Linked DNA regions of Astyanax mexicanus. The protein of the gene in region 1 purifies or fractionates together with the protein of each later gene. This does not show direct contact. Links are inferred from orthologs where the notes say so. Each region holds a gene or a part of one and is shown in the gene's direction. Other genes may lie near its edges. The genes, in order: utp4, wdr75, wdr43 and utp15.

Region 1 (7,927 bases):
AAATATGACCCCATTACAGAGCACACTTAACCTACATAAAGAGTGTGTGTGTGGGGAGGGGGTGCCCCAGGGGAATAGTGGTGGTGATGAGGGGCACAACAGATTCAGTACATACACGTGCATTTCCACCACCTAAAATAAACTAAAAAAATCCAGCACATATTTTTCTTCTCATTATTATGTAATGTTTTTAGATACTATGTTTATTTAAAGCAGTTTTTGCTGACTTAGTATCAAAAATAATGAGATTGTATCTTCATTTAATGACTTTGCATCTCAAATTACTGACTGCGTTTTAAAATGAGATAGTATCTCAATTTAATGATCATGTATTTTAAAATAGCGACTTTGTATCTAAAAATATGTATCTCAAAATAACGAATTTGTATTTCCAAAAAATAATTCTAAATAATGATTATGTATTTCAAACTAATGACTGTATCTCAAGAATAATGGGATAGCAACTTAATATAGTGATTTAATATCTCAAATGAGATTAAAGAGATACTGAGAGTGTATCTCAAAATAATGACTCAGTATCTCAAAATAATGTGATAATGGGAATAAGCTTCCATAAGATGGCAACAAGGCCCAAAAAAGCAAATTAGGAAATTTAACATTTCTTACACAATTCAATGTAAGACCACATACTGCACACATTACAGAGAAAGTCATGGCTACAGAAGAAGAGGGTGTGGGACTGGACTGGTCTATCTGCAGAACTGACTTGTCCTCAATATATAATGTATACAAATAAAATATATAAAGCAATGAAAGGGGCTCCGAGTGGTCCACTATGATCAGGAGATCACTGGTTCGAATCCCAGTCATGTAGCTTGCCATCAGCTGCTGGCGCCCTAAGAGAGTACAATTGGCCTTTTTTGGTGGGAAGATAGTGCTCTTTCCCCTTATCACTCCAAAGGGTGATGTCACTCAGCACAAGGCTGCGTCTGTGAGCTGATGTATCAGAACTGAGTCACTTCGCTTTCCTCCGAGTGCGCTGTGATGCTACTTGACAATGCTGCACCAGTTTGAAAAGAGGTGGTGGCTGACTTCAAATGTATCAGAGGAGGCATGTTCTAATCTTCACCCTCCTGGTGTTGTAACATCACTAGTGATGGGGGATATACAGCTGAGTACCAGCTAAATAGATGGGGCATAGCTAAAATGAAAGAAAATGGAAAAAAATAGAAATGAATTAAAAAAGAAAAGCAATGAAGATGCCTTGTTGCACACCTTAATGATGACATAATTGCAGGAAGAATGGGAGAGACGAACACCTGAAACACTCCACTGCTTGCCGAGTTTAAGGGGCCAAAACATATTTTAGGTTTTGTGAACAGAATATATGGCAAATATAAGTGGCAAGTGCTTTTTTTTAAAGCGCAAAGCCTCATAAGCAAGGCTGCACTGATGATATTTGTTACTGTCTTGATAAGGATAACTGTTATAGCAGTGTCTGTGGCTGTTTATATTAAAGCTTCTGTTGTTTGTAAAGAAGATAGAAACGTAATGATTTAATTATGATCTTTTATTTGCCACTTATCTACAAAATAAAACAGCAGAAATCTAGGAAACTATGTAGATGCAGGGAACAGCAACAGACACTGCTAGAATTAATAAAGACTAGATTATGGCACACAAGTGCAGCTTATCACACATTCTGGGCCAATGTTACTTCCTCTCAGCTGGACTGTTATGAAGGCCTTACTGCATCCAGTTCCAGTTACTGAGTCTGACTCATATTCTCTCTCTCTCTCTTTCCTTCTCTCTCTCTTTCTGAGAGAGAAATGCATGGACACTAAAAGGGTCATTTCATGAGGTGATAGCATTATTTAGGAAAGCAATCCACCCAAATACTGCTGTACAAATCTTTACCAGAAACATACTTGGAATAACTATGACACTTAAAGCAAATAATACAAATTTAATGGATCATTCTAGGGTCACCATCCGTCCCATAAAATATGGAATTGTCCTTTATTTGGCAATTAAATGTTGTGTCCCATATTGAACCAATACTGGGTTCTGTTTGTTCCATCTTTTCATTATATGGGACATGATTTGTTCTGAATTTCCATAAATGTCCAACACACACAGACACACACACACACACAGAAACACACAAACATCAACACTAAATCCAACAATAATGATAAATAATGATTGATTTGCTATCTGGCTGTGCTTGATGTCAGTCCGTAGGGCATACCTTATTTTAGTAGACTATCGTGATTTGATTGATTGTCTACACATTTCCTATATTAAAAGTGTTTGTAGGGTATTCTGTGCATTTTGTGTCAAAATGTTTATATTTCAATATAAATATATATAAAATTATAAAATATAAAATAAAATACACAGGAGTCTGGCCCATGAGGAGCTGTGGTAAATTATATGATAAATTATTATCATTTCTGAAAAATGGCAACACTAGATCGTTCATACATGGGAGCATTCTAAAAAAGCAGCTAATTATATATTAATTATATATAATATAATTTAATTATATAAAATACATATATTAAGGGATTATAAAGAATTTAAATATACAAATTCTATTAAACAGAACAGTTTTCAGGTAATATTTTAAACACAAAGTCAGTTCATTATATTATAAAAATAGACTGACTGTTCTGGGTTCAGTACTTAGTGTACTGCTGCCCTCTAGCGGCAAAAGACATGACCTGCTGCCACAGAGCCTGTAAAGAAAGGAGAGTACCCACTCTTCAAAATTTGATCCAACACGCGCCTCTCTTTCATACACTAGAGGGCGCTCCCGAGGGAGACCAAAATTAATGGATTTAATAGGGAGCTATTGAGCAAAATCGTTGTTTATAAATGTTTGATAGTGTTTAGAATGATAATGTACAGACCAATATGACCTTTTTCAGTACCACACACATTATTTTAAAAGCTTTACACCCGCTGGTAGCGTACCAACTAACCAGCTTACAGTAACAGTAATGTTAGAGTCTCTTTTATTTATTTATTTTTTTTAATTAACAAAATTTAAGGCAAAACCACAGCAAATAAAGCGACTGACAGTACATATCCAAACAAAACTAACAGAACAAAGAAACGTGGGATTCAAATAAAATAAAAAAAAGCTTCAAAATATCAATGGATTTAAGACATTTCTAATTCATTATTTGTTGAAAATTTGCCATGGTGTGTATATGATTAGCTATACAAGTCAGAATAAACAAATGTTTGGAATGAGGGCATTTTTTATAGCAAATTATTATTTTTTTAAAGCAAACTAAAAAGTGAATCCAAAAAGACCAAGAAAATACACAATAAAAAAGGGTTCAAGGGATTCTGTGGCTCCTTTACAGAAAACACACGTATCACAAAATAGCAGTAACCGGGTAAGTAACCAGCGTCTCAGTTGTTTGTTTTCAGCAAAATACTCCAGTATGCTCACCAAAATGAAAGCAGCTTCCTCTCCACAGGTTGTTGACTCACCAGAGTTTTAACCCATTTGAGTTTTTAGGCGTTTAGCGCCGTTCAATTAATTTTGGACTGACTCGCGGGCTCCCTCTAGCGGCTGATACTCATTTTCTGATATACAGAGTTGCCAGGTTCGCGTTTTTTCCGCCAAATTGTGTTTGTTTGAAAATCCATTCGCAAGTGAAAATTCCGGGGTGGCGTGGTGCGTTTTTTGGTCTACTTTTAAAACCTACCGCGGCCGCGGTAACATCAGAAGCAGAACAACCTCAGTACAACACATTTTCAACTCACAAAAGTAATTCATAAGTCATATGTTAATAATTTTCTTTTTCTAAATCTAGCCTATAGGCTACTTCGTTTTAATTGATTTTAATGTATGTATTTTTGCAGCTGAATAAATGATATAATATATATATATTTTTAAAATATATTTTAACTTACATTTAATGTATATATATAATTAATGTTAATTTACATGGAATTTATATCAGTTTATATCAGTTTGTTTTTACTTGCCTTTCCCGTCTTTTCATTCTACAATACATTTTACACGACTCATCTATCTTTCTCTCTATGTTTTTTTTCTTTTCCCTTGTTTTATATTTGCAGCTTTTTATATTATATATTAAAAAAAAACTTTTGCCGTTTGATTTTTAATTTTATTTTGAAGTGTTTTTTTTTTTTTTACGTTAACGCGCTTCGGGTCTCAAAATCCGGGGTAGAAAAGTACAAACTCAAAGTCCCTTTGCATTCACAAAAGTAACATTTTATTGCTGAAAATAAAAATAACGTCATTAAACCTAACATGAATTAGTACTATAATAATATATATTTTTTAATCTGAACGTAATTGTGAGGCAGTTCAATGTTGAGCTTTTTTTTGTTGCAACAAATCGCCGGGACTTTTAATTCCAAAGTCAGTTTCACTTCCGGCTCTAAGGTTCTCAACGTGGTTCCCGCAGCAGTCCAACGTGTGGAGCAGCTGAGAATGAAGAGAGCGAGTTTATAAAGGAGATTATTGAATAAGGTAGGATCATTACAGCGGTATTCTCCTGCACGGTGTTCTCCTGCATGTCCTTCAGCTATTTTTTAGATAGTTATGTCTGTGTGTTTAGTTTCAGATCAGCACCAGTTTCCTCAGCAGTGTTTTTACCTGAGCTGTAGTTCAATATAACTCTACAGCTCATTAAACACACATTCATACAAGTTATTGTTAGGCATTACAGAACTGACTCTTTAGTTACTGTACTCGGAAGTTATCATTACTGATTTTTAGTGTTTGATACAACCTTAAATTATCAAAGTACAAAAAAATATTTAGAGACTTAAGCTGTTCACTGGATTTATTAAATGATGATTTAGTTTAATAATCAGTTAATAAAGGCTTTCGCCAGGTTAACGTCCTTTCAGAACAGAGGAAAAGAATGAAATAACTTGCCTGATCGGTTTATGTCTTTTAAAAATTGCTTTTCTACATTGTACTATAAACTATTGATTAAAGTAAGGGAACAGTTCATTGAGTTGATTAAATTAGCTACTTAGTTATTGAGAAAAATATTTTTTTATCCAGCTTAGGAAACACTTTTAATATAGAGAATAGTAATAAACTGATTGTTAAATTTATAGAACAATTTAATAAATTACAAAAATAAGGAACACTATCAAATTTAGGAAAGAATGTATACATTTATTCAAAATGGTCACAAATAACAGCAATAAACATTTCTATATGTAAGAAACATTATGGAATTCCTAAGTATTCTCTCAGCTCATTAGTAATTGACACTGGTTAGACATTAGTAAATGCTACTAATTGTTTAATCTTAAAAATGTTTAAAACAGTAATAAATAGATACATTAAAATGTAGATTAAAATGTTGTAATGAATGTTAATGTCTTAAATCGTATCAGTAAATAAGTATTTGAGACATTTTGTGATGAGTACTGTTAGTTCATGTACCCTTATTGTGAAGTTTTAAATAGGGGGGAGCAATTTACTAAATTTAGGGAAGGATTTATAAAGCCTAAGAAATTGTTTGTCTCTAAATATTATATATGTATCCTAATACTTCAGTGATCCTGTATGATTTAACAAAGCATGTCATTGTTCTTTTCCAGTTGCTTGGTTCTTCTCTACAATGGGGGAGTTTAAGGTGCACCGGGTCCGGTTCTTTGACTACATGCCGTCGGCTATCCGAGCTCTTGCCTTCCAACCGCAGCGGGAGAAAATTGCTGTAGCCCGGACAAGTGGCTCAGTGGAGATCTTTAACTGTGCTGACCGCTTCTTTCAGGAAAAGGTCTGTGATGTTAATTTATGTACTAAAGCTTTCTCCTACTCAAACAACCTGTACTTTTGATAGTGTAGTTATCCTAAACTCTGTGGGTTAGTTTCTGGTATAGTGAATAAGCCCCTTCATAGACTATATTTTATTTTCAATGGAAATCTCTGTTCATTGTGATGCGTAGTCCAAGACTAGGCATAATCCTTGTCTAGAACACTTCCCGTGTAACATTAGACATTAGCTTTACATTCTGATTTTGCCAAAAAAAATGGCAGCCAAGGCTGTAATTGTGTCTGAAGTTTATTCTTTTAGTGTTCTATTGGTGCAAGAGGCTAATGTAGTGATCATCATCACCTTCTTCTTGTCTGCTAAGTCTAGACATCTCTGTCCTCTCCTTTGTAATCCCTAGGCCAGTTTGGAGATAAAATCCCTTCAATGTGTTCTGGGTCTTGCTCAGGTTCTCTTCCCAGTTGGTTGTGCTTTTCTCTTATCCTATTCTTAAATATCTACTGTAGATTTCTTTCCTTGTAGAAACGCTGACTGATCAGCAACGTTTGGGATATGTGTAAAGTTATGGTGATCTATTTATTTAGCAGACTGTTCCTATAAATGTTGTATGGGTAAAGGCATGTTTGGTAAAACTTAAGTAATCTTTTGTGAGAGTTATTGGGTTACATGTTGAAAAGAAAAGAAAACCTCTGTAAGCTTCCTCTATCTGAATTAAGTATTTCTGTATTTTAAAGTGTGATAAGCCTATTATTTACTAATAGTAGAATTGGTGCACGCTTTACATTTGGGTAAAAAGTTTTGCTATTGTTTTAAGAACACTGTGTGAAATTAAATTTTGCCTCCATTAACAGATAATTCCAGGACGAGAGCAAGCTGCTACTGAGGCCCTTGCCTGGGTCGGGGATCGCCTCTTCAGTGCTGGCTTGAATGGAGTGATTAGTGAATATGATTTGGAAAACCAAAAAGTGAAATACACAATCGATGCATTTGGAGGCCCAATGTGGACCATAGCTAGCAACCAGCAGGGCACACATTTAGCTGTAAGTGTTGTTTGGTGTTTAACTTAACAATTTGAATTGCCTGGCTTTTTAAAAGCAGCGAATGAGAGAGAGTTTTATTTGTGTTTGTGTTTTTGCAGGTTGGGTGTGAAGATGGGACTGTGAAGCTGTTTGAGGTGTGTGAAGGCAAAATCCAGTTCGAAAAGAATCTGGCGAAGCAGAAAGGACGTATTCTCTCTCTCTCCTGGCATCCCTCTGGTTCTAGGATAGTAGCAGGAATGATGGATATGATTCGGGTTTTCAACACAGAAACAGGTAAGCTGTAGTTAGAAACATATAGTTTGCATTCTTTGTGTAACTCCCTTAGAATATGCGTGACATTTTTTTGTTGCCAGGGACCTAATATAAACAAGTTAAAACTAAATTATAAGCAAGAAGATGTATGAATATATTATGCCTGTTCAGTAGAAGAGAAACTAGTCACACTGTAAATATGTAAGCTACACTAAAATAACAGGTAAAAGTGGCTGAGTGACCATAGCCTTAATCACCTGATGCATGACTCTTGTCTTGTGTTGCCCTTTAGGGCAGTCAGTACACAGGTTACTGGTGGAGCGTGGAATAGGAGCCTCCCGGAGTGTGGAGTGTGTGGTTTGGGGTGTGGTTTACCTCTCAGATGGCACCATCATCAGTGGAGATTCATCCGGAAAGGTTAAAATATGGGATGACCTCACTGGAACACTCATTAAAAGCCACCAGGTCACCAAGTGGGATGTGCTGGCATTATCAGTTTCACAGGTGAGATGCAATCAATTGTTGATTGACTGATTGTTGTAGATGCACAGCTGATTTGTTAGGCGCCCGCATGATTTCAGTAAATGAATTGCATTTGGAATTCACTATGATCCTCAGGATGAAACCAGTGTTGTTGCTGGGACGTCAGAAGGTACTGTGGTCCAGTTCCAGTTCCTCTCAGTAGTGCTGGGCCAGGAGGACAAAGAGTGGGTCCAAACAAGGATCTTTAAGAACCACACACATGATGTCCGGGCTGTGCTGGAGCTCGGCACTGCTGTTGTATCAGGCGGTAAGTTCACAAAGTTCTGTATTAAGACACTAACCCTCCTGTTATCATCAAATGTACTAACACCCTTTATCTTAGCATTGTAAACGTTAAGGAAATAATTA
Region 2 (8,274 bases), on another chromosome or scaffold:
TTGGGGTCGGAGTTGGATGCTAACATGAGACCTAGGATTTCACAGTGATATTGAAATTGGTATGTTTCACTTCAACTCAATTCCATTTCACACTGTATTTCTTCTTTAGGCTCCTTTACCTTAACTATGTATACACTTTGAAATTCATGTATACTATGAATTCCACAACCAAATAGTCATTTACAGTATTTATTTGCAGAAAATGAGAAATGGTTAAATAACAAAAAAGACTTCAAATAATGCAAAGAAAACAAGTTCAAATTCATAAAGTTTTAAGAATTCATAAATCAATATTTGGTATTCAAACAACGCTGGTTTTAAATCACAGCTTTCATGCATCTTGGCATGTTCTCCTCCACCAGTCTTACACACCGCTTTTGGATAACTTTTTAGGTTTTCAAGGTTTTTAAGTGTCTTTTTTAAAGTCTTTTTTTATCCCAAGAATATTATTGAACAGTCGAGCACTAAAGCCATACATAAATTAAAGACAACTGTATTAAATGTACAGGTATTTAAAGTGAAAGCAAACATTCCTCTACATGAGTAATAACGTGTTTTTTTTGTCATCGCAAACCTTGAAAAATATGTGTTGTTACAAAGTGTTTATATGAAATTTAAACATTTAAACTAAGCTTGAGACATAAAAGGCAGGTTATACAGATATTAACCCATATCTATCTCTATATACAGAGGATTAGAGCTGATACTGTACCTGTGAGAGTTTCCTCCACACTGAAAGCCCCGGTGTGTTACAGCTCCTGTAGTCGGGCTGTAGGAGCGGTAATAACAGTGTACAGTGTGTGTAATCCTCTGTAGCGCTGCTGCTGGGTCTCCTGTAGCGGAGCAGGTGAAGTTATAGTCCGGGTCAGAGCTCAGCGCTGGGGTCTGTCCTCCTCCCGCTCCGCCGCTGTGTTGCCTCCTCCCGCGCGCTGCCTGAGCCCCAGCGCGAGCTCACCAGTATCAGCACAGGACACGCCCCCACCCCGCACTGTGATTGGCTAACAGCTCTCTTCCGCCCTCCACCGCTTTCACACGTGTTTAGTATTTTATTATACGGTATGTTTATATTGTTTAATATATGTGTCATGAATTAATCATTCATTTTTTATCTGTTTTTTTTTGTTTTCTCTGCCTTTTTTCTTTCTTCCGTTATCTTTTATTAGTCTTTGTTTCTATATTTATTTGATTGTATTTATTTCTTTTCTTTTCTTTCTTTCTTTCTTTCTTTCTTTCTTTCTTTCTTTCTAGTCTTTACATATTTATTACTTTATTTATTTAGAGTCTTGGTTTCTTTTTTCTTCGTTCATTTTTTAGTACTTTATTCTTATATTCTTATATCTTTCTTTCATTTAAGTTTTTCATTTCTTTCTTTCCTTCTTTCTTTTTTTCTTTCTTTCTTTTTTATTTTTTCTTCTTTTTCTTGTATTTATTTTTTCATTCATTCATTTATTAAGTCTTTGTTTTTATATATTTTTTAATTCTTTTAAGTTTTCCTTTCTTTTTCTTTCTAGGCTTAACTTTTTTACATTTTTTGTTTAGGTTTCTTGCTTTATTGTTTTAGTATTTTAATCTTTCAGTTTTTATTCTTCCTCTTATTTATTGTGTTTATTTATTTATTTATTTATCCAACCATTTATTTATTTATGTCTTTATTAATTTATTTAGTCTTTGTTTCTCTTTTTTGTGTTTATTTCTTTCTTTCTTTCTTTCTAGTATTTACTTATTTATTTATTTAGAGTCTTGGTTTCTTTCTTTCTATCTTTCTTTTTTATACATTTCAATCTTTCAATCTTTCTCTTTTTTCTTTCCTTTGTTTCTTCCTTTTTCTAGTATTTATTTATTTCTTAATTTATTGAGAAACTATTTTTCAGTCTCTCTTTGTTTTATAGTCTTGCTTTCTTTTATTTTCTCTTTTGTAGTCTTCCTCTTTCCTTCATTCTTTTTAAACATTCTTTCACTCTTTGTAGACTTTCTTCTTTCTTTTTTGGACTTCCTTTCTATTTTCTTTTTTTTTTCTTTTTCTAGTTTTATTTGTTTATAAACTTTCTTTGTCTCTCTATATGTTTTGTTTTGTTGTTTTGTCTGAATCTGAAACACTAAAAGCTGAAAGTGTATGTAGGCCTGGAATCAGATACAGTTACAGTAGATAATGTAACTGTAGGTAAAATCTGAGGAGCAGCTGCAGCCGTGGGTCGGTTCAGGATAATCTGCAGGTGAGGCTTTAAAGGAAACTGTTGGTGTGTTTCATGAACAAGGAACCATTCTGAAGAAAAGGGAATTCCCCTCTGATGGAGCTGATGCAGTAAAGTTTGTCTCACGACACCACCGCCTTACTGAAGACACCTAACTGAAGACACTACTGAATTATCACTTTCTCACAGAGATCAGATATCACTTATCACAAACTGATCACAAAAATTAGGTTATTATGTTACACATGAGGGACACCGCATTCTATAATCACAATAGACTTCTGTGTCATGAGGATGTGGCAGACTTCCAGAATATTTATTTAGGAATAATTTAATCTTTATCCGCAGTTCCTATGTGTTCCACAGAGTATAGCTATATTGTGTTTTTCAGTAATGTGTCAATTCTCAGCAACACTGTACCAATTTATAGGAAAGTTTACATGAAAAGAGTCTTGAAAGACAGTGGTTAATTCTGTGCTGACATATTATAATATTAATATAGGACATATGTTGTTATTAGTGTGGTCAAAATGATTTAAAAAAGATAGATAGATACTTTAATGAATTTCTGGAATTACATGCTCCATGATTAATTATATTCATTACTTTTTGCTTTGAAAGTATTTTAAAATAAATATACTTTCATGGGTGGAAATGTTGGCATACCTGAAAAGTATTTATCCCATTTTTTATACATGTTTATTTTTATTTGTGCACATTGTAATAGAAGAAAAAAAAAATAAGGCAATTTTTTATAGTATATCAATGGGTTGTACTCAATTATTCACCTTCTTTTCAAAATTGTGGTTAAATAACTGAGAACTGTCTGAGGACCTCAGAACCAAAATTGTGGAAGATATCAACATTCTCACTGGTACAACTCCATCTCCAAAGATCTTGATGTTTCACAAATGGTGCACAAATTAATCAAGAAGTTTACAACCCATAGCACTGTAGCATAACCTCTCTGGACGTGGACGGAAGAGACGAAGAGAAAAACTGATGAAAGGTTGCAGAACAGGATATTCTGGATTGTGGATAAGCAGCACCAACACCAATCAACCAAGTTCCAAAGAAATTCAAGCTGTCCTTCAGGCTCAGGGTGCATCAGTGTCAGCACAAACTATCCTTCAACTTTCAATGAAATTAAATGCTATGGAGAACCAGGAGGACCCCACTGATGACACAAAGAGACATAAAAAGGCTACATTGTAGTTTGCCAAAATGTATGTTAGTAAATAAATCCTTTTGGGAAAAAGTGATGTTTTTTTAAACAAGAATATTGCAGAAGTCAGAAGTTTTTTAAATGGATAAATATTTTCTTAAACTTTTCAAGACAGTAAGGCTGCTCATCAAGACCTCCATTTCTCATCTGTGCCAATTCAGAGATTTTTCTTACAGCTGTGGACTGTAAACACAATGCTGGTGCTTACTAATTAAACATTAAAAACAGATTTGATTATTTTTAAATAAGCAATAAAGGCAGTTGCAAAGATCTCCCTCATTAAGAGGTACAGATTCAGATTTTTCTAAAACCCAGCTTCCTAATTTTGACAAGGTTTTAAACATAGAGAGATTTGATTATTTAATGATGGTCTTCTATTTAACATATATTTTCCAGGATGACTTATTACGTAAAAATGTAATTAATTCATTCATCAATTTGCTTCTCAGCTAACATTAAATTGAATTGTAGCTATACAGTTTAAAATATTTGAATGATGAATGCAATGAGTATCACATACAGAGTATGTAATTAATTATATTATTTTTTATTGCCTGAACTTACAAATCTTACAAAACTTACAAATCCGAAATATGACAAAAAAACGATAAAAAATAAAAAGGAATTTAGTAAAAAAAAAAAAAACGGAATTCATAGGGCCCTACGGATGGTATTTATTTATTTGCTCCTGAGCTAACATTAAATTGAATTGCACAGTTTAAAATATTTTGATGATTAATGCAATTAATTAATTACAGAGAATGTAATTTTTTAATCACCTGAAAGTACTATTAAAAAACCTAAAAATCCGAAATGTGCCATAAAAACGATAAAAACTAAACTTAAAAAACTGAATTTAGCACAAAAAAAAAAACAAAAAAAAAAACGAAATAACGCTAGGACTTTAATCATGTTCATTACAGGAAGCTTTTAGGTCTATGTCAGTTATTCATTTATTCATTTGCTCCTTAGCTAACATTAAATTGAACTGTACAGTTTAAAATATGTTTATGATGAATGTGATTAATTAATTACACAGTATGCAATTAATTATATTATTTTTTAATCGCCTGACAGTACTTTTAAAACAACCTAAAAATCACAAATGTGACGAAAAAAAACGATAAAACCCGAAAACAGAAAAAACAAAACATAATTGACCAAAAATATAATAAAATGAAATTCATTGGGTCCTTAGGTCTATGATAGTTATTCTTTCATTCATTTATTTATTTGCAACATTAAACTTGACAGTTTAAAATATTTGTATTTATTTGTATACTATTAAAAAAATGACAGTGCTATTAAAAAAATCCGAAATGTGACAAATAAAAACGATAAAAACCGAAAACAGAAAAAAATAAAACGTAATTTACCAAAAAGGACTTTTATTTTGTCTCCGGTTGGCAGGCGGCAGCAGCGTGCGCAGGCCGGCAGCAGAAGAAGAAGATCATCATGGTGGAGCAGAGCGGGGTCCGCGTGGTTCGCTGCGGCGGCAATAAAATCAATTTCAGAGCTCCGATCATCACTAAAGACTGCAGGTATGATCAGCGACCGGATAAAAACCTCTTATACTCACTGTTTCCTCACTAGTGTGAGCTGATCTGAGAGAGATGGGGCCTTCTGCAGCTTCATATGCTGCTCTGTAAACAACGTATTCCAATTTATCATATTTAAAAAGATTTAAAACATGTGTTTTTGCTGTTTAATGCTTAGTGTGGAGCGTTTTGCTTATTCTTTTATTCAAAATGTTCAGATTAGTGCTGAATAATCAGAGATCAGACACCTCCCAATCATAAAGAAGCTAACTAACTAACTAACTAACTAAATACCCATGTGTTGATAGTCATGTTTACCCTGGTTAACTACTGAATACTACATGCCCTGACTAAATTTTACCTAAATGAAGTTCATATTAGGCATTTTTTCATCAGGTGGAGATTTGTATGTTCCTTTTCCTGCAAAACTTTTGGCAAGTTGACACAAACGTGTTTACATCTTGGTGGTAAAGGATCATTTAAAGGTAATCATATTTAGTAATAGCATGGTCTCAGTGGCCAACACATTTAGCTAGGTTGTTTTTTTGGTTAACCTTACCTGGATATTAAATATTACTGAAGGGAGGTACTGAAATATTACTGAATTGGTGGCAGCACAAGAGTGATGTAGACTAGGGCTGATTGAGTTGTCCTCAGGTTGTCCTGCAAGAACAAGGAGATGTTAATTGCAAAACTGTTTATTCTCACACACTCATGAACATGCCACTCATTTATTGGATTATTAAGACAACATACAGACTTGTGGTGCAAAAACACTTCTTTAGAAGACGGGAAATTACACAAACTTACAACATTAGCCTACTTTTATAAGATATCTATGAAATAAGAATTTCAGCACATTTAGCATAAACTACGAAACATACACAAATTAACAGTAGCCACTCTAGGTAAGGTAATCATTTAGCATTCTGTACAGTTAGCATTTACTGATACAAAAATCACTCAAAACAAAGCTAACTATATAATACTTACTAGTGATTGCATGCAGACCAGCTCAACTAAGCAGTAGGGGTGGGCGATATGGCTCTAAAATAATATCACGATATTTCAGGGTATTTTTGCGATAACGATATACTTGGCGATATAGGAAAACTAAAATGTGAGGAATATATAATAATAAATAATATAATAGGAATATAGTATAATAGTATAACAGTATAACCATAATGTGGCAAAATAAATAATATAGCATAAAATAATATAATTCAGCAAATAATATTGCAGAATATTTAGTGCATGCATATAAACTGCAAACTAAAACAATTATACAATAAATGCACCTAAAGCTTCACAGTAAATAATAGACTACTTTTAAGACAGAACAGCCCTATTATCACGATATGGATTTTTAATATCATGATATTTCTGTGTCACGATATATTGTATACGATATAATATTGCCCACCCCTACTAAGCAGCTGAAAATCTTAACAACCTAAGCAAGTTTAAACTGAGTATGGGTTTAGAAGCTGATTAATTAGAAGGGAAACATGGTGACACCCTTGTTCCTCACTAGTGTCGCTTAAAATGCGCCTTATAATTTGGTGCGCCTTATAGTCCCTAAAATACGGTAATTAACAGTGTTAACTTAAGAGGTGTTCTGCTTTTTGCACACTAACATTTAAGGTTTTTGCTCTCAAACTGTGAAACACTTTGCAACCTTCACTAAGACTTGCTGTTTCTTCAGTCTTTTAAACAGGCATTTGGATAATGTACCATTTTATACTGTGATTGTATTTTTTGTATTGTGTGATGGTTTTGTAAAACACTTTATGACCAAAAAAAGAGCTAAATCGTGTTTTCTTATTTCTCATGTTTGCTTTGATTGGCTGGGCATTATTAGGGTGAGCTGAAGTGAGCATTGTGATTGGCTCAGTTCATTAGTGGTCATAGTGCTGGACGATATGGCCAAAATTCATATCACGATATATTCCTTAATTTCGGTCGATACGATATAATTTCGATATCGATATAAATACTTAGAAGGCCACAGAAAACTGCGAAGAATCCCTGCAATGGAAATATGTACCTACTACTGTCTGAAAATTTAATTTAAGTCTTTGAAACCTCCTTTCACGAAAACATTATAATACTTAAGAAATTAAAAATAGTCAAGATAAATCAATGCTCAATTTTATTTGCATATAGCAAAATAAAAACATGACATCCCTGTCAAACATAAGCCTATATAACTATTACCAATAAAAATAACTTTAAATTAGGACAGAAGCAGAGCTTCTTATTCTTTTGTAAACAAATTTAACAGATCAAAACAAAAGTGTTTCAACTAGGATAAAGAATAAAAGAAGCCTTTATATACATAAAAGCAACAAGATTTCCCCGTCAAATAAACAAACCTATAGGCTTTATCAACTATAAATAACTTAGTTACAATATAAGCTACAAAAGTGCTTCAGCCAAAATACAACTCTTTATAAACATAAAAGGAACATGATATCCCCGTCAAATAAACAAACCTAAAGGATTCATAAACTTTAAATAACTTACAACATACGCTATAAAAGTGATTCAGCCAGTATAAGGAAAATATTGTATGTAGTGTAACTGATTGAGGTGGCGGAACAGATTAGATGTTTTAACGTTACCGCTGCTAACCTGCTCCACTCTCCGGCACAATTTGCAGCAAACTGAAGTTTAGCAGACCTTCGAGAGTTGAACCAAATCCTCACCACTGAATTAGACCTCCCTCCTTCAATTGATCACTTGTGGCAGGGGCATTCATTTTGCATCAAAAATGTCCCGTGCTGGGAGCCAAGAGGACCCGCGGCTGACCGAGAGGACCCGCGACTGACCGCTGACCGAGCGGACCCGTGGGTGGACCGAGCGGACCAGAGGCTGACCGAGCGGACCCGTGGGCGGACCGAGCGGACCCGTGGGCGGACCGAGCGGACCCGTGGGCGGACCGAGCGGACCCGTGGGCGGACCGAGCGGACCCGTGGGCGGACCGAGCGGACCCGAGGCTAGGGTAGGCTAGGCTCGGCTTGGTTCCGCTCCATTCCACTCCAGCGCGGAGCATTTCAGATGCGAACTGAGCCTACCTTAGCCTTGGATCCGCTCGTCCCGGCTCCGTTTGGCTCCAGCGCGAGGCATTTTAGATGCGTAGCGGACCCGAGCCTAGCCTAGCCTAGCCAAATCTAGCCTAGCCTAGCCTATCTGGCTACGTGCCTATGTGATTACATCATCACGCACAGAGATAGTCCAGCTACGGAGGCTGATTGTGTTCAGCTGTGCGACGAGCTGACGCCAGTAAAACGCCTGTCCGTGACAGATTCTGTAA
Region 3 (7,894 bases), on another chromosome or scaffold:
AAGCATAGGGAGCCCTACGCTGGTGCGCAGGACACTTCCAGATGGGAGCCCTGCAATGGTCTGGTGAGGAAGAAAGCCCCAGTTACTCTGCAGCTTGGCTCCTTCCTGCAGCAGAAACATTTTCCGGAACTCCACCCTCCGACTACGGCGATACTCCGCAAGCAAGGTCTCCCCAAACTGCATCATCTGCTCCATCCTTTCAGTCTCCTCGCCCTGCGTTACAGCATCATCCTCAACCTGAGATTCACCTACAGTCCAGTGTGGATGACATGACAGGAATAAATACTTCAAAATTCATCAAAATGTATTTCATATTTTGTGTAGTATGGCTAAAACAGACAACAAAGCTGCACCACAAAAGCTGTATCTATCTGTATGTATACAGCTATGGGTAAAAAAAAACTAAAAGAGCACTTAACTAAATTGAAAACCTCTGGAATATAATCAAAATGAAGATGGATGAGCACAAGCCATAAAACCAAGCTGAACTGCTTGAATTTTTGCACCAGGAGTGGCATAAGGTTATCCAAAAGCATTGTGTAAGACACAAAGTGGAGGAGAACATGCCAACATGCATTAAAAAAATAAGTGCTATCCCACCGAATATTGATTTTTGAACTCTTAAACATTTATGAATATGAACTTGTTTTCTTTGCATTATTTAAGGTCTAAAATCTCTGCATCTTTGTTATTTCAGGCATTTCTAATTTTCTGCAAATTAATACTTTAAATAGCATTATTTTTATTTGGAATTTGGGAGAAACGTTGTCCGTAGTTAAAAGAAAAAACTAAAATTCATTTTTCTTAAACATCTACCTATAAACAGCAAAATTAGAAAAACTGATTTAGAAACTGAAGTGGTCTCTGATTTTTTTCCAGAGCTGTATATCTCAATGCACTGGTAAAAACATGGAGTTTTATTTTTGCCTTTCCTTACCGACAGTAGGCACTTCCTGTGCCTGTTCCTCTGTTTCTGCTTCATCTAGGGCTTTTTTCTCCCTCAGTTCCCACACCTCCTTACTCAGCGAATCCTGGGGCAGCAGCTGACTGACCCGCTCTAAAGGAGACAGGGGTCTCCGTCTCCCCAACAGAAGGGCTCTTCTAGAGGAGTGTGAATCTGCTGGACCAGGTGGAGCCGTTGCATCTGGATCATCACTATTCCCGTCTGAACTGCTGGGAGCCATAATGAAATTCCTCAGAACGTGTGTCCAAATTGTGGGAGTTTTTCTGGCATCAACATACTTGTTATTCAGTCTCTGCTGCCTTAAACAGGTGGCACACACTCTGGTCAGTCTGTGAGTCATTCTGAGGTAGAGAGACACCTAAACACCACCTGAGGAAGATCAGATTAAAGCAGTTAAATATATTTAAAGAAGAATTCTGGACTAAAACTAAATTTGAATATATAATTATTAGTGGTGTCAATTAGGGGTGGGCAATATGGACCTAAATTAATATCATGATATTTCATGGTATTTTCACAATGACAATATTCTTGGTATTATGACAAAACAGCTTTTTTTTTAATTAATTTCAAGAATATACTACAGCATAAATACAAGAGTTTCATACATTCAGTAGAAACAAGACCCTTTATTATAAAATAATATAAATCTAAAAAAATAAAAAATAAAGTAACGTAATAAGAATAATGTACTACAAAACTAAAGTTTAGCATATTTAGTGCATGAAAACTGCAAACAAACAATTAACAGTAACTTTTTCACAGTAATAATATTTTTTTAAATATGATACTATAAAAATATGCATTGTTCATGTGAAAACTGTATTGCAAGCGATCAAGCTGATTATTTAAGAAGGCCACGCTGCTCTTGTTCTGCCTTTTGCTCTGCTGCCTTCCTGCATTAAGAACCCTGGAGATTTGTTAAGTTTGTTTTGAGATGGAAAAAACAGAAACACCACCTTCAACTTGGAGTGATGGTGGTGGTGGTGAGAGTGAGGAAGACTATCCCCAGCCCTACTTACAGTCCATGTTTTATTTGTTGGAGTGGGAAAGATGCTTTAAAGGTTGAATGACATGATGTTGATCTGTTGTTGTTTACAAAGATCTCCGTATTTAAAGCTGCTCTAATCTCTTGGACTTTGACAGCTTTAGTTGATTTTACAATAGTGACACACCAACTAGTGACCTTTTATGTTGAATTTGTTAAAATATCCTAACAGTTTACTGTTTAGCCTCTCTTTTGGGTAAATTTGTTTAGAGAGTTCGTCAAAGACTTCATGTAAATGTACTCTTTCCTGTTCGTTCCTGTTCTTGTGCTGTTGTTACAGCCTAAGGAATTGTGAGTGTCTTGTAGTCTGAACATCTGAAATAATATAAACAATTTGGACTTTTATCTGTAAAGACTACACAGTACAATACTTGTACTTTTACTTTCAGTACTTGAGTAGATTATGTTTAAATAAACTACTTGCGGGGCGGTCTAAAGTGCTGCCACGATGAGCAGGAGGTCGCAGGTTCGCTTTGCCATCAAGCTGCCGGCGCTCCCTCCAGGTGGGTAGATGGCGCTCTCTCCCCACATCACTCCGAGGGTGATTGCCACAGCACAGGGCATCTGTGAGCTGATGTATTAGAACCGAGTCGCTACATCGCTACTTAGTTTTATTAGAAATAATAAAACTTCTTGCTTAAAGAACACTTCAACTTCTACTCAAGTCACTTTTTTGATAGAGTACTTGTACTTTAACTCAAGTCTGGATCTCTAGTACTTTATAAATATCCGCATAGCATGTGGTGCTCACCACTTTTTACCTAAAAAAAAATAAATAAATACATCATGTCCCTCCCTGGGCTCCATAGAAAACTAAATTGATAAGCGTCCCACTGACCTTAATGCAACTGTAAACTACAACTAAATACTGACTTAAGAAGTATTACAACCAACAAACAAAACAAATGAATAACGTTACAGTGTCCAACAAATCTCTGAGTACTAAAATATAACGTACAACCTCCAAAAACCTATAATAACAAGCTAAAAGCTGCAGGGTAAGCAATGCTACAGCAGACCAGAAATTAAAAAATAATACAATATACTATAACATAGAACATACAATTGTATGAATTGTAACTAATATGAATTGTAAGTAGTGTAACTAATCTGTGCCTCCATTAACATGCATGTGTATAAAAAATGATAGGTTAGATATTAAGCACTACTCACCTCTACTGTACTCACTCACAGACACACACTATATGGTAGAGATGTGTGTTGTCGAGCAGTTCATATCAGCTCCAACATAAATAAAACACAGTAAACGTAAACGAGCTCATGCTATCTCAAACAGAAACCCGCGCGCGTTCAGAGCACACTACAGTACAGAGCAGAAACACAGCGTGACTCCCTGACTGGGCAACGCCATGTTTCACTGTTACGCCTAAGCCAAGCGACAAAAACATTAGAGCTGCAGTATCGAGAGCGGCCGCAGGGTGTGAGTAAAACTCCACTTTCCGCTCACTCTCTTTTTAAAACATTTTCCATAGATTCAGTTTTTCATTCATTTTATTGTATTCATTATTATTTTTTGGCTTCATGTTTCTGAATACAGTGCCTACTCGAGTGATTTATGATATTAAGACTCAAAGGTTGTGGTTAGTTGCCAAGTTAGATAGTAAAGTTAGCTCAACTAAAAAAAATCATTCCTGTAATACAGTTATAATAGTATATAAATTATTATATTTTAAGTGTTAGTAGTAAACTGAAAGGTCTAGACATAGAAACCTAGATACAGTAGAAGATTTTTGTGGGATATAAATATCGTAGCTTCTGAGAATGACCATTTTATCATTTTATTTTTCTTATTATAATTATTTTTCTTTTGATTGTATATTATTTTCTCTTCCTGTAAATGCATTAACTGTATAACATACATACACAACTGCTGCACACATTTAATTATATTTTAATAGTATAAATATGTGATTATTTATAATATATAAATGCCTTTCTTTACCTTCAAATTTGCCAATAATATACCATTAATTTAATCAATTACTCATTTTTATGTCTTTGAAAATTATATATTTTTTTATTTTAGTTGCCTTCACCTACTTGAAAATAATATATTTTACATATTAAATTAAATTAGCAGTTTATTTACTGTTATTTACAAATTTAACATACGTTATTGGTCAAGTGGAATATTTGTCCACGCCCACGAAACGTGACAGAGCAGGCGCATGCGTGCTCCCTTCTCTCCAGCGCTCCGTAATACCCCACGTGTCTCCCCCAGCGCTCGGCTACGCACGCTCAGAGTCGCGCTGAACGATGGCGGCGGACGGCGGAGGTTCAGCTCCTTCGGCTTCTCTCGCGCTCCCGTGCGCCTATTCACCGGCGCCGCGGCGGCAGTATCTGGCCGTGTGTGCTCGCGACGGACGCCTGCGGATCTGGGACGCGGACGGCGGCGGCAGCGGTGGGAAACCCCGGCAGGAGTACGCGCCCTCCGCGCGGCTCAGCGCTGCCTGCAGCTGCGTGGCGTGGGGCCCGTGCAGAACCAGCAAGGTGCGCGAGACACAACAGAGCTGTAGTTCAGTTATTTGAATTAAACGGCACGTGCTGATTTTTATAAGTTGAACCTGAGCGCTCGTTAAGTGGCCGTTAAATTCGTTGTTATTTTAAACTGATGATGTTTAAAAGTAGCGCACGAGCTTCAGGCTCAATCTCAGTTTATATGGAGGCAGGAGGAGAAAAACAGCTGAAATTGGAGCTTTCAGACTCGCTTTCTGTTACTTTTCTCGCTTCGGAAAAAGCGAACCGGACTGGGTGATGCTGTGCGGATGTCTCTCTGTTTCTCAGTGTTTGTGTGTGTGTTTATAAGTGCCAAAATCCGCCTGCCCGTATCTCTGAGTAGCTATAACCCACGTTAGCGGCCTTCGTTAGTTAGCTGAGCTAGCGTGTTAGCAGCCTAGCCCGTTAGCGCTTAGCTTAGCCTTCTAGCATCGCAGCAAAGCAAGGCGCACATGTGGTCCTTCGCAGCACATGTTCACCACTAGCTAGTCAACCTAGCTGTGACCACTAAGATGGCCTCTTGCTCCTTGTTTTAAGCTGTAAAATACCTAATTTTCCCTTTTTTATATCCATCAAAACTTTATTAAGCTTATTGTTTTTGAATACAGTGCCCGCTTGAGCTTGTTATTTATAATCTTAAGGCTCAAATGGTTAATGACCAAGTTACTAGCTAGTTAGCTAACTAGCTCCATGTAAAAAAAAGTTGTAGTATTTAAATTACTAGATAGGTGGTAAACTGGAAGGTCTAGATATAGAAACCTACAGTTGAAGGTTGTTTATGTTGATGATATATTTAATATTTAATAAAGCTTCTGGCCATAAAGCCTTTGGCATTAACTGGAGCAAAGTTGAGCAATATGTCGTCTTAAGACGATATTGTCCCATAAATATTGCAAGTAAATGATATGTTTGTCATTCTAAGGCCATCTCATGCTACTCATATAATAATTTTATAAAATCACGACAATGCTATTAACTAATCTCTTTATTTTAAGGTAATCTGATCTCATGCCACTGATATAATTGTTACATAAAAGCACAACAGTGCTATTAACTAATTGTACTATATTAACTATATTTTAACATCCTAATTGACATATACAGGGTGTCTGCAGTTCCTTAAAAAGTGTAAAAATCTAAAAACATACTCTTTAATTTGTCTTAAAATATCTTCAAACAATTTCCAAGAGCTTTTAAAATGTCACGATTTGTTTTATCTTTTTTAATGTTTTGAATGTTTAAAAAAAAAAGCGAAAGTAAACTTTCGGTAAAGTCAACAGCAATATAATTATTCTAGCTTCTGGTCTAAAGTTGGCAGAAAAGTTACTTTTTGAATGGTTTATTGACACCTTAAAGTTGTTATAAATGTCATTATCTTCATTTTAAGAAAATCTCGTCTCATGCCACTGCTATAATTATGTAAAAGCACATCAATGCTATTAACTCCTTTTAACAGCCAAAAAAATTCAAGCATACTAATTAGCTGCGATATACAGCGTGTCTGCAGTTCTTTAATGTAAAAAGCTTAAACCATAAATTCTTTAATTTGTCACATCCAAAAGGTCTTAAAAATCCCACATTTATGACATTTTTACTGCATTTAGAAGTTTTCAAAAATAAGCAAAACTAAACTTTCTGTAGTCAACAGTAATATTAATATTCTAGTTTTATTTTAATATCACCACATATCATGCCACTGAGGTAATTGTTATATAGAAGCACAACAATGCTATTAACAGCTACGCATATTCAAACATTCTGATTAGCTACAATACACAGGATGTCTGCAGTTTCTTTATAAAGTCTTGTTTAACTAAAAACTAAAATTCCTTAATTTGTCTTAAAATATCTTAAATCAGATTACAAAAGGTCTTAAAAATGCCACATTTTGTTTTATTTGTTGTGCATTTTAAAGTTTCCAAAATAAAATAAGCAAAACTAAACTTTCTGTAAAGTCAACAGAAATATAATTATTCTAGCTTCTGGTCAAAAAGTCGGTTTATTGACATAGGAATAATTGTTATAAATGTCATTATCGTTTTAAGATGATCTCGTCTCATGCCGCTGCTATAATTATGTAGCTATGATATACAGGGTGTCTTCAGTTTTTCAAAAAAAGCTTCATGTAAAAAGCTTAAAACAAAAATTCCTTAACTTGTCTTAAAATATCTCAAATCCTCATATCACATCCAAAAGGTCTTAAAATGCCACATTTTGATTACATGAATACATTTTGAACTTCCAAGAAAAAACAAAACTGAACTTTAAGTAAAGTCAGCAGCAATATAAATATTTTAGCTTCTGGTCATAAAGTAGGGAGTAAAGTGATTATTTTTGTTTGGACACTTTATTGACAAATATTTGATGTCTCCTCTCCTGCTACTGCTGTTAAATTTTTATCAGCTAAGTATACAGAGTGTCTGCAGTTCCTTAAAGTCTTGTTTAACTTGGAACAAAAAAATCCTTAATTTGCTTTAAAATGTCTTTAATCAATCAAAAAGTCTTAATGTCATATCTTGGTTTTATTTTAATGCATTCTGAAGTTTCCAAAAAATAAGCGAGACTAAAACCCTGTCCTTAAAGGACTAAAATTACCACAGAGTTTAGCAAAAAATCAGTAGGAAATTCAGCATGTTATTTTCTCAGAGGACGTCTGAGAAAAACACGTACGTGGTCGTTCCGGACGGGAATAAAATTACAGAGGAACCCCCATAAAAGAGAAACTAATCTCGTCCGGATAGGGCTTAAGTTTTCTGTAAAGTCAACAGCTGATTAAAATGGCCCAATATGTGGGATTAATCTGATACATATTAGGTTATGAAAAGCAGACAGAAGTTAAGTAGTTAAGTAGACAATAGTACTACAAGTTTATTCCTTGTCAGTGTCAGCATGTGATGTTTGAGAACAGTGTGTCTAAGTGTTTGTGGCCACCTTTCTAATCAGTGCATTCTTACTTTTACGCTTTGGACACAAACGTGCAAATGCACACATGACTTGTCTAGTCCATGTAGAATAGGACTCGTGAACTTGTTAAGCTGTAGAGCAATAGAATTGTGTTCTCTGGAATAATGGCACTCCTTTAAATACTTTTGGATTGAATTAAACCAGCATCCTGACCTCCTGAGCTAATGCACTTGTCACTGAATGCCATCAAATTCTTAAAGCAGTGCTCCAAAATCTATTAGAAAAATGTCCCTGGACAGTAGAAACAGTTACTCCAACAAAGCAGGATAAACCCTTTTATAATGCCCTTTATCAGAAGAAATGTTAAATGAGCAGCCTGTACTTTTGGGTGTATTTAGTTATTTGTTTAAATAAGCATTCAAGAACACATGCTAAAGTTTATAGTATTGAAAGCAGTATTA
Region 4 (7,964 bases), about 4.8 Mb from region 1:
AACAGACCAACATTTTTTGAGTCACCATGTTGAATAATTTTTTTTACCACAGTGTTTTTTTTTATTGAAAGTGTAAGAGCTGTATGTACGTCATTATTCACACTTAGTCTATTTTAATCGTTCTGACTGTGGCTTACAACTCTCAGGGAGAGCTAGCCCAGCTTTAGTATGAACATACATCTACTAATGGTGAGAATTCTGCTCTGCTAAATAGACATGCAAGATTCTGTGCAACAGTGTTTAAACTGTGTTATTTTGAGCACAGGAGTCAGGGCAGTATCGCTTTATAAAGCAGGGAGTTTTGTGAATACTTTGAACAAAACTAAGACGATGGCACAAAATAAGGGAATTTGCAAAGCTTGAATGTCGAAGGTCATGCTAGTCCTAGACTCCCACTGAACTACTACACACTGTAGTGAAATTGTAGGATATTGCAGAGTCAAAGGTTTCCTTTTTACTTCATACTTCCCAACTCATGTGATTAGTGTAAGCTGAATAATGCTGTTTAGGATATATTACACACTGTCCTTTACTCAGCATCCTGTGACTGCTGATGATGGACTAGAGGATGACCGACACAAATTGTGCAGCAACAGATTTAAAGCTTCTACATTTACATTTAAGTCAACTTAGAAAATATCCAGAGCAAGTTTGTAGATGCTAGAATTAAAATATAAATCAAGCTTAGATGCTGCTTAATACAAAAGTCATTATGGATACCAAGAAGAAAAGTGCTAATTTAGTAACTCTTTAAGTACATCTAAGATCTAGCCCAGCCTTTACCTTTACTTTCCCTTTGCAGTGCCTTATTTCCTAATGCTTTTATGTTCATGTTAGCTCTGTGTCTCCTCTCATGTCTCTGCCCTAGCCCGGCCTTGGGTGTTATCTGTAGCCCCGCCCCCTCGTCGTCTGGTCCAGATGTTTCTTGTCTACTCTTGTGTAATAGTCATGCCTTTTTATTTTGCTTGGTAAAGGCCTATCACAATAATTACGTTATCGACTTTTGTACAATAAATGCACATTACCTTAATCACTTCTGCTGATGATGTGTTTATCTGCTATCACATTTCTGTAAAGCTGCTTTGCGACATCAAGCACTTTATGAATCAATTTTAGCTTAAAGAAGAATTACTGCTACTTATTTTCTAATTGGTCATCTACTATTAGGTAATAGTTAAGTAAATTACTGTGCTTGGGATGAAAAATGATTATAAAATGACAATAATATAATTTATGTCAATTATGGAATTGACATAAATCTGGAACTATTGTCCACAAAAAAAGCTATCGTGACAGGCCTAGTCTGGGCTACAGCTTAACAGGAGTGGTTTTGGAGAACACCTCTGATCTACACAAATCTGTGTATATCTGTCCCAAATGGCTTGCGGTCCTGTAGTCCTTACATGCATGTGCGTCATGCATCTACATGACATCGCAGCTCAAGATACTACACCACCATTAAAGGACAGGGTGAAAGGAGCATAATAAAGCAATTCACTTCCTGTTCAACTCTACAAAAGCCATCCCCCATATCTACACATGTAGAACAGTTTCTGTTGTTATATTGAAATTATAAAGATAAATTTGTTTTTACCTCGTTATTTGATGTAAACAGCTGTAAACATATGCATTGTGTTGTACATGTTTGTTTTTCGAAGAAGAGCCAGGGTCAGATCCCTGATGAGTAAACTAAAGACATCTGTTTCAAAACTTCCTGAAAAGATGAAGGAAAGATATAGCAACATAAAAAGGACCCATGTCACTTGGGTTTAGTTCATCATGTTTATATGTTTTGGTCATAGACACCCTATACATAACCTCAATGAAGACCAGCTTTTTGCCTTACTGGTACACAGAGAAATGTGTGCTATTGTTTTGAGGTACACTGTATTCATTTGGATGCACAAACAGTACTTTGGTTACACTACAAAAATATATCTGAATATTCAGGCTGGTAACACCATCCGCAGACTAATTTATTCACTCTATTTCCCCAACACACTGGCATTACAATAATGCCAACAAGACTGCTTAAAGATTGAATTACTCTTAACCTAGCAGTGGTGGGAAAGTCCTGTGTGTGGTATCTAAGATGCCAGTCTCAAAATAATATCTCCCATGTGGTTCATGTGAAGTTTTGGTGAAATACAGGAAATGTGCGTTTATGCCTGTGTTTGAGTGTGCGTGTGTGTGTGTGTCTGTGTGTTTAAAACAAGATCTTCTTATTAGATTATGTGACAGCACTGTACCTTGTACTTTTAACTGCCAGAGCTAATAGTTTCTGATTCATCAAAGAAATAACCCGAGGAACTGTTATAGACACTACATAGAGGCTTAAATCTTTATCTAAATTTGGTCCAGTTAGCTTCTTCCTTCCTTATACGGTGGGATTCAAAATTCTTAGTCATAATTACTGTGAATAGTTAGGTGAGTAAGTTTCCCACCTAATTCCAAAATGTATAAAGTTAAAGATTACATATTTTTAAAATCTTTTGAGCAAGATTAATCTTTGGGGTTTTTTTTCTTTTTTTTCCAAAGCTCAAAAAAATATTATGGTGTGATAGTGCCAAGAATGGTTTAATAAACTTTAATCATATAAAAGGACAGCATAACAATGTTAACAAATACAATCCAATACAATACAATAAGTGTCGACGTTCAATATATGTTTTCATATCATAAAGACTACAAAGAAACTTTCTAGTAAAAAACTCAAGCTCCTCACGTCATCAGTTAAGTCATGAAAATATAATACAAGTATTTACAAGATGAGGGAAAACTTGTATTTACCAGCTGGAAAGTCATAATGCAGATTTAACAGCAACAGTTGATATTTAAATGGTTAACTCTTATCTACACTGCTGTGCACAAATGCTACTGATACTTGTACTAGCTTTGTGGTACTCGGATCCAGTCTCGGGTCTTGAAACCATAAGTGATTGATCTCTGTCTTGACTCTGTCTCAACTTTGTGACCGTCCAAGTCTGATGCATCTGTCTGAGGAAATTATTTGAATCCATCAATCCGATAAAGGTTTAGAATGAGGGCAGATTGCTGTCTGATGGCAGGGTGTTTTCACACATAAAAGTCTGGACCACACTAAGGTTTGTGTGTTTGTTACATTGTGTACATTTGTTTTGGTTAGTATTGGGTTCACACTGCATTTTATTGAGCGGACTTAACAATTGTTATCATCGGCTATGTGGGGGGAGTCTCTCTATACTTTATATTAGTTGGTTTGAAGAATGTTTGTTATGAGTTCGGCTAATCAGACTGTCCTTCGCGTTAAAATAAATATATACTTGGCTCATTTTTAAAACGGGGTGGCCCAGTGGCGCAGTGGGTAGTACTTCTGTCTCACAGCAAAACGGCCTGAGTTCGATTCCCAGTTGGGGTGACCCGGGTCTTTCTGTGTGGAGTTTGCACGTTCTCCCCGTGTCTGCATTGGTGTGCTGCGGCAATTCAGGCTAATTAGATGTCGGATAAAATTGCCCCCCTAGGTAAGTATGTGAGTGAAAGAGTCTGTGTGTCTGTTTGTGTCTGTCTGCCCTGCGATGGATTGGTGCCCTGTTCAGGGTGCATACTGTTCAAGTGCACTATAGGACTCTGTGGCGTGGCCTAAGGCTTTTGTTCTTAATGGCACTTTTTCTTCCTTATATTACTTTTACTTATATACTTAAATGAACTATTAAATTTATTATACTAAAATGAGTACTTTTACACTTTTAAAGCTTTTTACAATAAAATAAAATACAAAAATACTTTTGACACCTTTGTTGGGCACCCTGTTCAACACACATTGCTTTTATTTTTGTGTTGTGTGAGTCTATAATCTACGGAGCCAGGGCGGGGCCCAGGATAAAAAAAAGAATTAAAAGCAAACAATATAGCAGATCATGCTCACGTTTTCTTTAAATTGTGTAAACGATTTACAATTTGTTCTTATGATTTCCCAATTCGCATAAACGATTTGCAATTCATGGTCACAATTTTTTTAATTCAAGTGAATGATTTATTTATTTTGAGCGAACAATGTTTTTTTTTGAGTTCATGTCCACACAGGCAGGATAGTCACACATCTCCAGTGCTTTTCATGTCTGTTACAATGCCATTTTAGGGCCACTCTTAAAAAATAAAACCTGTTCACTTAGAAAATAAAGTTATAATATTATGAGATTAAAGCCCGAATATTATGAGAATAAAGTCGAAGTATTTTTAGGAAAATGTAGTTCTAACTGCTTGGGCTGCAGTTTAAGAACAGAGCGTGGGGGGAAGGAAAAGATGTAAGCTGGAGACATGTTTATCCTGCCTATGTTGGGGAAACTTTTTTGTGCTCATATAAATCGTTTGCTCAAAATAAAGAAATTGTTGCCTCGAATTAAAGTTTTTTTTTTACTCAAAGTAAAGAAATTGTTCACTCAAATTTAAGAAATCGTTTACTCGAATTAAAGAAAACGTGAGCATAAACTGCTAAATCGTTCGCTCGATTTAATTATTTTTTATCCACGGCCCCTCCCGGGCTCCGTAATAATCTCGTCCCCTAAGTAGTGCACTAAATAGTCAGCACGGACCAATTTGAGATGCGCCCAAATGCGCAGCAAACGGAAGTACGTAGTCCAACATGGTGGCGTCCGTGTGGCCGTAGAAGCAACGTGATTTCTCTCCACGTTTAGCGAAAAAAATACAAAAAACTGCAGTTTAAACCAGCGCGGTTTCTCCAGGAGACGGCAAACACTTCGGTACTTTTTTTTTACATTTGTGTGCTCGTGCTACTCGGCCGCGTCTGGCCGTGTTTCATTACTTCTGCTGATAAACGTATTACTTTAGTAGACTAGCGGTGGCTAACCTAGCTAAGCTAAGCTAACTAGATAACTTATCTCATTATTAAACTTGTTACATAGTTAGCCCTACATTTTTGTTTCTGCACGTGTATTGATATTCGATTTTTTTTTACTGAAAATAAATCCCACAGTGTGTTGGGTTAATTTGGTTAGTGTAATTTAACAAACAGTTTTGATTTAGTCTTAAAGCTGGGTTAGGTTAGTAATGCTACAGCCTTAAAAGGGTGCTCTCTAAATAGTGTCTGTTAAATATAATAGATGCAGGACCATGACAATTCACAGGCCCTTTACATACTTAACCCTATGGTTTCTTCGTCTTGTTGAAGCGTTACTATCTACTATAAATCAAACAACTATTTCTTAACCCAAAGAACCCATGGTGACATACCTAACAGACCTTTAAAAGATGTGCAAAGTTTCTTAAAGCACTTTGTCCTTCACTTTAATTTAAGAAGTTCCTAAATCACATATACAGAACATCCTGAGAGCATCGCAGGAAAGTGTGTGAATAAGTGGTCACCTGACTTTGTTTACAGATTGTAGGTGTGCTGGAGATAATTGTAGCTGTGTTTTCACTTATTTAAGTCTGTTTTAACCAGTTTAACTATTGAAATGCTCTAATAAATTGTTTTCCACGTTGTTGTCGAAATTTTAACATTAAGGAAAAAAAATGAGCTGTCCAACTCATTTAATAAAGTAAATTTTAGATTTTGTATCAATAATCTGAACTGAGTCTGGTCTCTTATGGGTTAAAACACATTTAAAATAATTGCTCTTCTGTCAATCTGTGTTTTATCTTTCTGTCTGTCAAAATGCTATCCTACCATTGTGGACACACCTTCTCTTTTTAAATATGTTTTCTTTATTTTCATGACTATTTACATTGTAGATTCTTACTGAAGGCATCAAAACTATGAATGAACACATGTGGAGTTTAATGTATTAAACCATAAAAGTGAAATTACTTAAAAAAAAAAAAAGAATATTCTAGTTCCTTCAAAATAGCCACCCTTTGCTCTGATTACTGCTTTGCACACTCTTGGCATTCTCTCAATGAGCTTCAAGAGGTGGTCCCTGAAATGGTTTTCCAACAGTTTTGAAGGAGTTCCAGAGGTGTTTAGCACTTGTTGGCCCCTTTTTGCCTTTACTCTTCAGTCGATCAGTTAGTCTGTATTCTTTGTTGTTCTTCTGACAATGGTGGATTTTAATGAACTACATTTTGAACATGTTGCTCTTTTGTAGGCCTTCCTGGATTCCTGAATGAGAGAACACTGCTCCAATGGCATCCTTTAAACCCACTAAAGTCTATACGTATCCAAAACTAGGAGAGAAGGTTACTGAGGATACACTGTACTGGAAAAACTACAAGGTATCCATGATTCTTTTTATTATTTATTTCTAAAAATTGAAATAAAAGAAGAATGTCATTTATTTAACGTGTTTGATTTGTTGTCTTCTGTTTCAGGCTCCTGTGCAGATTAAAGAGTTTGGTGCTGTAACAAAAATTGAGTTTTCTCCAGTGGCACCTCACAATTACGTAGTAACTGCCTCCACCAGAGTGAGTTATTTTTTTATCTCACACTTTTCTTTTTTGTATATTTGAACAAAAGGATTTCAGAACATTTCTTTTACATTACATTACAGTACATTTGGCAGACGCTTTTGTCCAAAGCGACTTACAATATTGAAGTGCAAATAATAGAAGAGGTTAAGTACAAAAATAATAGAAGTTAAAAATAAAGCATCTATAGATAGGGCCTTAAGGAGGTCAGAGGGAAATAATGGGATAGAGGAGTAGAGAAGAGGAAGAAGGAGATGAGGTTAGAATTAGTTAGTTTGTTAGAGGTGTTAGGAGAGTAAGTGCTCTTTGAAGAGCTCTGTCTTCAGGAGTTTCTTAAAGATAGCGAGAGATTCTCCTGATCTGGTAGTGGAAGGTAGTTTGTTCCACCATTGGGGAACGCTGTATGAGAACAGTCTGGATTGCTTTGTGTGAGTGTTTGGCAAAGCGAGGCGACGTTCATTGGAGGAGCGCAGCGGCCAGGAGGTAGCGTAAGCCTTCAGGAGTGAGTGCAGGTTGGAAGGAGCTGTTCTGTCATCACCTTGTAGGCGATTGTAAGAGCTTTGAATTTGATGCGAGCAGCAACCGGTAGCCAGTGGAGCTCAATGAGCAGCGGGGTGACATGTGCCCGTTTTGGTTGGTTGAAGACCAAACGTGCTGCTGCATTCTGAATCATCTGTAGTGGTTTTACTACACAGGCCGGGAGGCTAGTTAATACGGCATTGCAGTAGTCGAGGCGTGAGATTACCACAGCTTGTACCAGGAGTTGGGTGGCCTGTTGCGTCAGAAACGGTCGAATTTTTCCGATGTTGCAAAGCGGCAGGATCGAGCAACTGAGGCCACATGGTGCGTGAAGAGAAGCTGGTCATCAACCAGAACACCCAGGTTCCTAGCAACCTAGGTGAGAGAGAGAGAGTCGATGGTTATGGCAAAGTTGTGTTGAATAGAAGGTTTTGCTGGTATGACCAGAAGTTCAGTCTTTGAGAGGTTTAGTTGGAGGTGATGTTCCTTCATCCATGCGGATATGTCTGAGAGACGCTGTGATATTCGTGCAGAGATTGAGTGATCATCTGGTGAGAACGACAGGTATAGCTGGGTGTCATCAGCAAAGCAGTGGTAGGAAAAACCATGTGAGCGGATAACCCGACCTAGAGAGGTGGTGTATATTGAGAAGAGAAGAGGTCCCAGTACCGAACCCTGGGGAACCCCAGTGGGTAACGAGTGGGCTGGGGACAGCCGTCCTTGCCATGACACCCTGAACGAGCGCCCAGTGAGGTACGATCTGAACCATGACAGCGCATTGTCTGAGATCCCCATGTTCGAGAGTATAGTTAGGAGGAAGTCATGGTTGACTGTGTCGAGAGGTCCAGCAGAATGAGCACTGAGGACTGTCCTGCAGCTCTAGCAGGTTTTAACGCTTCTGTCACAGACAACAGAGCCGTCTCGGTAGAGTGTCCTTTTTTGAATCCAGATTGGTTCTGGTCCAGGAGGTCATTTTGGGTGAGGAAGCCAGAGACTTGATTGAGAGCTGCTCTTTCTAATGTTGTAGAAAGAAAAGGCAGTAG

Evidence for each region.
Region 2: the proteins of utp4 (region 1) and wdr75 purify together in Homo sapiens (co-immunoprecipitation; 3 studies listed by BioGRID and IntAct, counting the BioPlex papers as one, with this or other methods). This does not show direct contact. The link is inferred for Astyanax mexicanus from reciprocal best matches to the Homo sapiens genes UTP4 and WDR75.
Region 3: the proteins of utp4 (region 1) and wdr43 purify together in Homo sapiens (co-immunoprecipitation; 5 studies listed by BioGRID and IntAct, counting the BioPlex papers as one, with this or other methods). This does not show direct contact. The link is inferred for Astyanax mexicanus from reciprocal best matches to the Homo sapiens genes UTP4 and WDR43.
Region 4: the proteins of utp4 (region 1) and utp15 purify together in Homo sapiens (co-immunoprecipitation; 4 studies listed by BioGRID and IntAct, counting the BioPlex papers as one, with this or other methods). This does not show direct contact. The link is inferred for Astyanax mexicanus from reciprocal best matches to the Homo sapiens genes UTP4 and UTP15.

The regions. Positions count from the first base shown.
Region 1 is NC_064416.1:19,241,447-19,249,373, forward strand, and holds the start of utp4 (U3 small nucleolar RNA-associated protein 4 homolog), read left to right. Parts: upstream 1-4,390; 5' UTR 4,391-4,480; intron 4,481-5,571; 5' UTR 5,572-5,591; coding exon 5,592-5,750; intron 5,751-6,595; coding exon 6,596-6,784; intron 6,785-6,882; coding exon 6,883-7,057; intron 7,058-7,328; coding exon 7,329-7,540; intron 7,541-7,654; coding exon 7,655-7,826; intron 7,827-7,927. UniProt on the Homo sapiens protein: Ribosome biogenesis factor. Involved in nucleolar processing of pre-18S ribosomal RNA. Part of the small subunit (SSU) processome, first precursor of the small eukaryotic ribosomal subunit.
Region 2 is NC_064418.1:43,448,273-43,456,546, forward strand, and holds the start of wdr75 (WD repeat-containing protein 75), read left to right. Parts: upstream 1-4,832; 5' UTR 4,833-4,872; coding exon 4,873-4,958; intron 4,959-8,274. UniProt on the Homo sapiens protein: Ribosome biogenesis factor. Part of the small subunit (SSU) processome, first precursor of the small eukaryotic ribosomal subunit.
Region 3 is NC_064421.1:41,015,544-41,023,437, forward strand, and holds the start of wdr43 (WD repeat-containing protein 43), read left to right. Parts: upstream 1-4,236; 5' UTR 4,237-4,289; coding exon 4,290-4,523; intron 4,524-7,894. Other genes in the region: trmt61b (tRNA (adenine(58)-N(1))-methyltransferase, mitochondrial), read right to left, coding at 1-248, 938-1,304. UniProt on the Homo sapiens protein: Ribosome biogenesis factor that coordinates hyperactive transcription and ribogenesis. Part of the small subunit (SSU) processome, first precursor of the small eukaryotic ribosomal subunit.
Region 4 is NC_064416.1:14,403,465-14,411,428, reverse strand, and holds the start of utp15 (U3 small nucleolar RNA-associated protein 15 homolog), read left to right. Parts: upstream 1-4,605; 5' UTR 4,606-4,739; intron 4,740-6,083; 5' UTR 6,084-6,120; coding exon 6,121-6,210; intron 6,211-6,306; coding exon 6,307-6,399; intron 6,400-7,964. UniProt on the Homo sapiens protein: Ribosome biogenesis factor. Involved in nucleolar processing of pre-18S ribosomal RNA. Required for optimal pre-ribosomal RNA transcription by RNA polymerase I.